2 linked regions of the Tribolium castaneum genome follow. The protein of the gene in region 1 interacts with the protein of each later gene in a biochemical or structural test. Links are inferred from orthologs where the notes say so. Each region holds a gene or a part of one and is shown in the gene's direction. Other genes may lie near its edges.

Region 1 (3,825 bases):
GTTAAATCGAATTGTGTTTTGTAATTATTTGGTTTTTAGCTCACTTGGGCCGATTTTTACTGGGCGACCGTTTCACAAGTTTTCGATGTGGTTAACGGGATTGACACTCTTGCCAATTATCCGGAACTGAAGGCCGCAAGAGAAAGAGTTAATTCTTTGCCAGCCATCAAAAAATGGATCGAGGTGCGACCCAAGACTGATTTCTAATAACTTTATTTATTCTGTTCAGAAATTATGAAAAATATATGTATTACTTTTAAACAAGTGTTTTTTTATTAATTCCGCTGTTAGAGATCTATTGTTGAGTCATTCGTTTCAACCCAATCTCCGGTGGGAGCAACCTTGATGAATAACAACATCATAGAGATGGTAATTATGAGGAAGTTTGTACGTACATACGGAGTATTCCAAGGTTTTCTGTAAAAATAAATCTTTGTAGCGTATCTTATCTACCCTAAAAACTCTAGACAGAGCAATACATTGAATACTTGTAAATACTGAGAAAAGTTAATAATTTTTTTGCGGTGCAAAAACTTGGAATACTCTGTATATAAATATTTAAGTAATTCCTGGAGAAAAAAATGGTTAAATACAAAAATTTGAATGTGCTATAGGAGATGTAAGTGAGTAGTAAGTTTTTAATTTATTTGAAGGTTAAATAATCTAGGAAAAAAACTGTTATTCTTTTATGCAAACTCATCGTGATTTACATTTACAATATGCTCCCAAATATTTTTTTACACCTCATAACAGCATGGAGAAAAATATCTACTTTGACTAAGTCTCATTTAATTCGTAATAATTGTTGTGATGGATCATCAAAAATTAAATGTAATGACTGGTGCTTTTTAAAAGGAACTGATGTGATATAATATTATTTGCAGATAATATGCAAGAATAATTGCACAATAATTTTTATTTAACACAATTTTTTTCCTAAAATTAGATATAGGATCAAACAAACAATATTAATAAACGAAAAATACAAGCTTTTTAAATTAATGAATTATTGATTGATAACTAGAAAAGCCATTTCTCTGAAGTCGTCTGTAAAATGGTTACATTACAGACCATATTTATTTGGGTTCAAAATAGTCTCTAGAGTGTCGTACTTTTCAAAGCTCATAAAATGTGATAACTGATGACGTGATGAGTGATGAGACTTTGTGTGAAATGACTGCATTTCCAATTTTTTTTAAGAAACTTGGAAAATTATCAATTCAGAAAAGCACTAAATTTGTTTTTTACACTCAGATGAGTCAGATGGTTATCTCCTCTGCTATCTATCACTTTAGACAACAAACCCCATATTCATGAAAACTCAATTTTAATTTAAATATTACAATATTTTAGGCAAAATGCTAAAATATTTTTTAATTAATAATTTCGTAAAAAAATTAAAATTGCTCAAACCGTCGCGTCGTCTGCGTTGATAGTTGAATGACAATTAACGAAGACGACGCGACGGCTCAAACCCGTGGCCCAAACTTTGCAAAAGTTGCTCTGCGCGTCAAAATGTAGTACCGTATAAAATTTCAATAACGATGCTTTAAAATATTAGGGTTGGATTTATATTAACAAATAAATTAGAAATGTGTACACTTACCTTTGAGTAACTGCAAACATTCGTTTCAATGTTCATCTGTGGTCTGGTGGTCAACAAACTAATACACAAACTAAAAACACAATAACGAACAGTTCTAAAACGCTCCTAAACCGAAATAATTCGTTTCACAGAATAATTTTACGAATTTCAACAACTCAAGACGCGAAAAATCCGCAGAGGATGACAAACGCACCAGTAGTACCAATGTAATAACAACGGCACGAAATAAATTAATTTAAATAGCTTTGAACATAGTCTTCTGATGGTCTGCTTTATTGATTTGGATCTTTTGATTAAGTGCTTTGCAGAAAAATTCTTAGCATTAGCAATAAATGAATTTTTTAAATTTTTTCATTAAGAATTCGTTCCGATGGTAAAGTAAATTCCTGCATGTCCCATTGACAGTTTTGACATTGACAGATGTGTGAAAAATTCTCTTGCAAAAAGCAATCGAATAAACTCGACTTTCCCATGTTTTTGTAAAGTGTGCTCGCAGTAAATTACATTGCTCTGACCCCTCACCACCCCTGCGCCAGCCAAATATGATAAAACTATTCTCGCTGAAGCAACAGAAAAAAGATGGAGAAGCCTCACCGCGACCAGGAAATCAAAAGAAAGCCTCTGCAGCCCAGTTGAGGATTACGAAAGGTTGGTTGTGAGTCATTGCGCCCCCATTTTGACCCTCCCTTTGCAGATATCAACGAGCTGAACCTGCCCAAGACCTGCACGACGGAGTTTCCCGATCCGGACGACTTGCTGTCTTTCAAACTGGTGATTTGTCCGGATGAGGTTAGTTGTGGATTAGTGTGTGGGGTTGTGGTTAATTGGGGGGACGTTTAGGGTTTCTACAAGACAGGGAGGTTCGTATTCAGTTTCAAAGTGGGCCCCAATTACCCGCATGAGCCCCCCAAAGTCAAATGCGAGACACAGGTCTACCACCCCAACATCGACCAACAGGGCAACGTGTGCTTGAACATTTTAAGGGAGGATTGGAAGCCCGTACTGACTATCAACAGTATCGTCTATGGACTGCAGTATTTGTTCCTTGAACCCAATCCAGAGGATCCTTTGAACAAGGAAGCGGCTGAAGTGCTCACGACCAACAGGCGGCTGTTTGAGCAGAACGTCCAGAAGGCGATGCGTGGAGGGTATGTTGGCAGTACTTATTTCGACCGCTGTCTCAAGTGATTCTTATGTGTAAAGAACTTATTTATAAGTTTACTGTTTTATGCTCGTTGACGAGGACACTCGAGTGATTCTTGCATACCTAATTACTAATTTCGTTTATTAAAGCTACCACTATGTTGTTTTATTTGGCTTTTTCATCTCAATCGTTCTATTGTGATCATCATATCTCACTCCAGCGTAAAGCACCACAAAGCGGTGTGTTGTAATTTCTCCTCAGTGAAATGTAACTGATTTAATTAAGAAAATAGATAATTTTTCATAATAAAAATCTACAAAAATTCGAAGCAATTCTTTATTAAAATGCAATAACTTAACACCTTTCAGTATATTATAGAAATAATGTAATTTACTACATTGTCTTTCCCTAAAGAAGAAAACAAATGAGACAAAAGAGACACAGTCGAAAAATAATTACAATTACACGGAAAATAAACTTCCATTTAAATCTATATTAGGTAAATTTAAATCGTTTACATCCGTTTTTTTTTTGTTTAATAAAAAGGCACTTAATAAAAATTAAAAAAGATTAAATTACCAACTGTACATCATTTCACTGGTCTTAACAGTCAATTTTACATTCAGTCACAAAAATTTTACACACCACGTCACATATATTCATGACGGTTTTGGAGCGCCAAACTTAAAAGTTGTGGGTACTTCATGTTGTGTAAACATAAAACCTGGACAAACAAAATTAATTTGTTATTCCCCCAACACTATCATATAATTTTACCTCCCGATTGTTCAATTCTTTTACTTTCTTTGGCTGCTTTCCTCTGATCCGCTAACACACAAATATCTACCAAATTCTTCTTTTGTTGTTCGGTTAAATTGGCCGTGAGGGCATTATACCATTCAGGCTGACAACGTTCCAATCCTTGAAATTTTATTTTATAAATCTAAAAAATTGAACAATTAAACACGTTACTTACTAGTCATGACTTCTTTGAAAACATCGTATTCATCTACAGGACAATTTTCTTCATCTAATGGTGTTGTATAGGCTTCCAACATCGTTTCTTCATTCGGTT
Region 2 (5,236 bases), on another chromosome or scaffold:
AAGGAATTCCAAGTGGAGACCATTGTTGAGGCCTTGTGCACCAACATGGTCTCCGACAAGGAGCAACTGCGGGATATTTCCAGCATTGGGCTCAAGACGGTTATCGCTGAACTGCCACAGGCACCTGGGGGCCTCTCCGGAAACATTTGCAAGCGGATCACCGGTCGTTTGACGACTGCTATCGAAAGGGTACGTTTGTCAACGTTGTAGCAAAAATCAACGAAACTTTGCAGCAAGACGACGTGTCCGTGCAACTGGAAGCTCTCGACATTGTCACGGATTTGTTATACCGCTTTGGCAACGTTTTGCAATCCTACCATGCCTCCATATTAAACGCCCTCTTACCTCAGTTATGCTCACAACGGCAAGCAGTCCGCAAACGTACGATTGCAGCTTGCAGTAACTTAGTTCTCTCGTGCAACAATGCATTGTACGATAAACTAATCGAGCATCTGTACAACGGGATGAGAACTGATAACAAGAACTCCCAAATTCGCACCTACGTGCAGTGCATTGCAGCCGTGTGGTGAGTCGAAATTTTGCCTGTTTTAATTGCCACTTAAACCACCACTTTAGCCGACAGTCGGGCCACAAGTTCGGCGAACATATTGAAAAGTTCGTACCTTTGATCCAAATGTGGAGCGCTGTGGAAGACGACGAGACCAGAGAGTTTTGTTTACAAGCTTTTGAGAGTTTTATCAATCGTTGTCCCAAAGAAATCACCCCGAAAATCAGCGCCGTAAGTTAAATAATCGTGGTCTCAACGTTTTTGAGCAATTTTTTCGCAGATCACAGACTTGTGCCTAAATTACATGACTCATGACCCGAATTACAACTACGACGAAGATGGGGATGATCGAGCCATGGGGGCTTACGATGACGAGGAAGAAGAGGAGAATGACGAGTACAGCGATGACGATGACATGAGCTGGAAAGTGAGACGTGCAGCTGCCAAGTGCTTGGAATCCATCATCTGCACTCGCCATGAGTTATTGTCTGAGTTTTACAAGGTTTTGTCGCCTGTGTTAATCTCCCGGTTTAAAGGTAAGTGTGGTAAAATTGTGTGCGAACGCCGAGCGATTGAATTATCCACAGAGCGGGAAGAGAACGTGAAATCAGATATTTTCCGTGCTTACATCGCGCTTTTGAGACAAACAAAATCGACTGTTAACGTGAATATCGATCCGAACTCCATGGAGCAGGAGGAGATGCCCATTTACTTGCTCCAGCAGCAAGTTCCAATGATTGTGAAAGGCGTGCAGTCGCAAATGAAGGAAAAGAGCACGAAGACGCGCCAAGACTGCTTCCAGCTCCTAAAAGAATTATGCAATGTCCTACCGGGCGCTTTAACGCACCACATTGGTGATCTGATTCCCGGTATTCTATTTTCACTGAGTGAAAAAAATGGGAGCAGTAACATGAAAATTGACGGCTTGTCGTTTCTCCTGTGTCTTTTGGCATCGCACCCTCCTGAAGTTTTTCATCCCCATATCAATATCCTCCTACCGCACATCATAGCTAACGTGGGTGATAACTTTTATAAAATCACAGCTGAAGCTTTGAACGTTCTGAAAGAGCTGGTCAAGGTCATTCGTCCTCTGGACCGCGACTCGAACTTCGATTTCACGCCCTTTGTGAAGGAAATCTACCTCTGCACTTTATCGCGTTTAAAGACGTCCGATTTAGACCAAGAGGTCAAGGAAAAAGCTATCTCGACCATGGGGCAAATTATTTGCAACCTGGGTGATCACCTAGGGAGTGAATTGTCTTGCTGTCTTCCTTTGTTCCTCGATAGATTACGTAACGAAATCACGAGGTTGACTACAGTTAAAGCGTTGACCAAAATTGCGGGCTCTCCATTGGGCATCGAACTACCGATTTTGGTAATAACTCCCGGGTTTGCGCAATAAAAACGTAACAATTTTCTGATTTAGGACGAAGCAGTGCCGGTTTTGGGGCTCTTCCTGCGTAAAAACCAGCGTGCTTTAAAACTAAGTACTTTGCAACTCATTGATTGTTTAATAAAGAATTACCACGTCTACATGTACGTGGAATTACTCCAACACGTAATAGTGGAAGTGCCACCACTCCTTGACGAGTCCGACCTGCACATAGCCCAGTACACTTTGGTGATCTTGAAGTCGATTGCGGAATACCACCCCCTGGCTTTGCAAGACCTGCCAACAAACATCTTCCCGCAAATCTTGGTCTTGGTGAAGTCGCCTCTTCTGCAAGGTATTTTCCCGTAATTCAAGTCCCGAATTGGTCAAATGTTTCATAGGTTCCGCCCTGAATTCCATGCTGGAATTCTTCAAAACTCTAGTCCAATGCAACCTTCCGGGATTGTCCTACAACGACTTGCTGCAATTTCTCGTTCACCCGATCAGCATTAGCCAGGGTTCTGGGGCCGGTGACGCCGTCATCCACAAGCAAGCCTATTACTCGTTGGCCAAATGCGTGGCTGCTATAACAGTGACGATGCAACACCAAGCGTTGCAAATCGTCCCCCAATTCATCAACGAAATTCGCTCTTCGCGCCACGACGCCCAGAAGATCTTCACTTTGCTCGTGGTCGGCGAAATCGGGCGCGAAATGTACGTAGTGAGCCCAAAACTAATCGAAATTTAAACTTGCTTTTCCAGCGATTTGACCGGATTTGCCAACTTGGAGCAAATCATCTCCGAGGCGTTTTTCGCCGTGTCTGAAGAAGTCAAGTCCGCTGCGAGCTACGCTTTGGGCAGCATTGCCATCGGGAACTTGCAGCAATATCTTCCGTTTATCCTGACCGAGGATGAGAACGAGCCCCGAAGACAGTACTTGTTGCTTCACTCTTTGAAGGAAGTCATCGCGTGTCTGTCTTCAACACCGGAGGGCATCCAACAATTACTGCCTTTCGTGCCCGCGATTTGGGACACTTTGTACCGCCACTGCGAGAGTGAGGAGGAAGGGACAAGGAACGTGGTTTCGGAATGTTTGGGCAAATTGACTCTGATTGACCCGAACCATTTGCTGCCGAAGCTGAAGGAATCGCTGGGCTCCGAGTCCTCGCTCATGCGCACGACGATAGTGACGGCGATCAAGTTTACGATTTCTGACCAGGTTTTGTACAATTTTGTCTAGTTTTAGTGACTTGTTTTTAATTCTAGCCTGCTTCAATTGACGCATTGTTGCGGCAATGCATTGGCGAATTTTTGAATACTTTGGAGGATCCCGACTTGAATGTGAGACGAGTGGCGCTTGTGGCTTTCAACTCGGCTGCTCACAACAAGCCCTCGCTGATCCGTGATTTGCTTGACACGATTTTGCCCCGTCTGTACCACGAGACTAACATTAAGGTATTTGTCAGTGTTTGAGATTAAGGGTGGTGTTTAGTTATTTATTTCAGCGAGAGCTAATCCGTGAAGTTGAGATGGGCCCATTCAAGCATACCGTTGATGACGGCTTGGACCTGCGCAAGGCAGCGTTCGAGTGCATGTACACCTTGCTTGATTCTTGTTTGGACAGAATCGATATTTTCGAATTTATCAATCACGTTGAACTTGGCCTTAAGGACCATTACGATATTAAAATGTTAACTTATTTAATGGTGTCGCGACTAGCTCAAATATGCCCCGGCGCCGTATTGCAAAGTGAGTCATGTCAGCGTTTTGAACATCGTTTGATTGTTTTTTTGCAGGCTTAGATAGACTGGTCGAGCCCTTGAAGGCAACTTGTACCATGAAAGTTAAAGCAAATTCGGTTAAGCAGGAATACGAGAAACAGGATGAACTTAAGAGAAGTGCCCTGCGGGCTGTTGTTTCTCTTTTAAGCATTCCTGATGCCGGTACATCTATTTTGACTTCATTTGATTTTTTCTAATTATTTTCTTCCAGATAAAAACCAACACTTGAACGAATTTGTCACCCAAATCAAGACTTCTCCCGACCTAGCCCAGATTTTCGACTCGATCCAGAAAGATTCCGCTAATAATATTAACGATTTCTTTTTGATGGATCAGAGTTAGACATTTTCAAAGTTACTATTTTTTCGACGTTTGTTCAATTTTTTGTTCTAGTTCATTTTCGTTGTGTTTCATTTGTTCATTCATATTTTTCATATTTTTTCAAATCTATGTAATTGATCTGAATTAATAAAGCTGTGTTTCAACATCCTTTTTTTTATTTTCTCACTAGAAATAAGCAAAATATAGACAACCAAAAAAAGTAACGCACTAAATTCATAACTTTCTTACTAGTCATTTTTCAAAAAAATCTTTAAACAGGCCGATTTAATTTTTTTAAATGCTACAATTATGATGTCATTCGTTTTTGAATTGTGGCGTCATTTTTAATTTTTTTTTCACTGTTTTAGATAGTACACATCTTTATTTTTTTGTAATAATAAGAAAAGTAAGTAAAAACAAAAAAATTATTTAATAAAATTTAAAAAATATTGTTAATCAAACATAATGGGCTTTATATTTTTGTTCCTGACTTACCTACTTTATAGGCAGCAACACATAATATAACACTCAAACACAAAAAAAATTAGAAAAAAACCATCACCCTTTCAGAAAATAAAACCAGATCGAAAAATAAAGTTCTTTGTGTAATACTCTTAATGTCTTTTTTTAATTTTTTAATTTTCTTTTTTTTCCAAAAAGATAAAAATGTGTACTATCTAAAACATTAATCAAAAAGGTCAGTTATTATTAAGAAAAATAAAAAAATATGTCATTACTCAAAAGTAAATGACGTCAGGAACGTCATTATATTGTCAAAATGAAGCATTTAAAAAATTAAATGATTAAACTACCGGCCCTTTGAAGGTGTGTTAGTAAATACAAAAGTTTTTTATTACGTAATTTTCAAAGATTGCGTTGTTATCGTCTCTGGTTTAGTTACAAGGTCAAAGTTCAGGAAATTCACTAACGGAACATTTTTTTGAGCGCAGGGCCGATCTAGGGGAGCATGTTTCGGAGTTTTATTTTAAGATTGTTAAAATAAAAAATTATGGTTTACGTAAATTCAGATACAACTCCAAAATTTCAATAGTTTTGCTTCATGATTATTTCGATTTACTTTAAAAAATGCTGGTGGTCCCCTCAAAATTATTTCTGGGCCCGTCCCTGTTTTCGCGCCACTGCCGTTTTAAAATATTAAAGCGGTAAAACCGAACTGAAAAGACATGTATTAGTAACCAGTAATCAGTTACTTTATTTTGTAATTAAAAAAATATATGTTTGACTTTTTTTGAA

Evidence for each region.
Region 2: the proteins of UbcE2M (region 1) and Cand1 form a complex in vitro, tested with the Homo sapiens proteins (2 studies listed by BioGRID). The link is inferred for Tribolium castaneum from reciprocal best matches to the Homo sapiens genes UBE2M and CAND1.

What each region holds. Positions count from the first base shown.
Region 1 is NC_087394.1:37,270,631-37,274,455, reverse strand, and holds UbcE2M (NEDD8-conjugating enzyme Ubc12), read left to right. Parts: upstream 1-1,976; 5' UTR 1,977-2,148; coding exon 2,149-2,254; intron 2,255-2,300; coding exon 2,301-2,395; intron 2,396-2,446; coding exon 2,447-2,794; 3' UTR 2,795-3,074; downstream 3,075-3,825. Other genes in the region: uncharacterized protein LOC659302, read left to right, coding at 40-207; msk (importin-7), read right to left, coding at 3,410-3,474, 3,528-3,671, 3,727-3,825.
Region 2 is NC_087403.1:5,728,072-5,733,307, reverse strand, and holds the end of Cand1 (cullin-associated NEDD8-dissociated protein 1), read left to right. Parts: coding exon 1-189; intron 190-233; coding exon 234-526; intron 527-576; coding exon 577-739; intron 740-788; coding exon 789-1,044; intron 1,045-1,095; coding exon 1,096-1,883; intron 1,884-1,934; coding exon 1,935-2,235; intron 2,236-2,281; coding exon 2,282-2,594; intron 2,595-2,642; coding exon 2,643-3,099; intron 3,100-3,146; coding exon 3,147-3,335; intron 3,336-3,385; coding exon 3,386-3,629; intron 3,630-3,676; coding exon 3,677-3,823; intron 3,824-3,872; coding exon 3,873-4,003; 3' UTR 4,004-4,148; downstream 4,149-5,236. UniProt on the Homo sapiens protein: Key assembly factor of SCF (SKP1-CUL1-F-box protein) E3 ubiquitin ligase complexes that promotes the exchange of the substrate-recognition F-box subunit in SCF complexes, thereby playing a key role in the cellular repertoire of SCF complexes.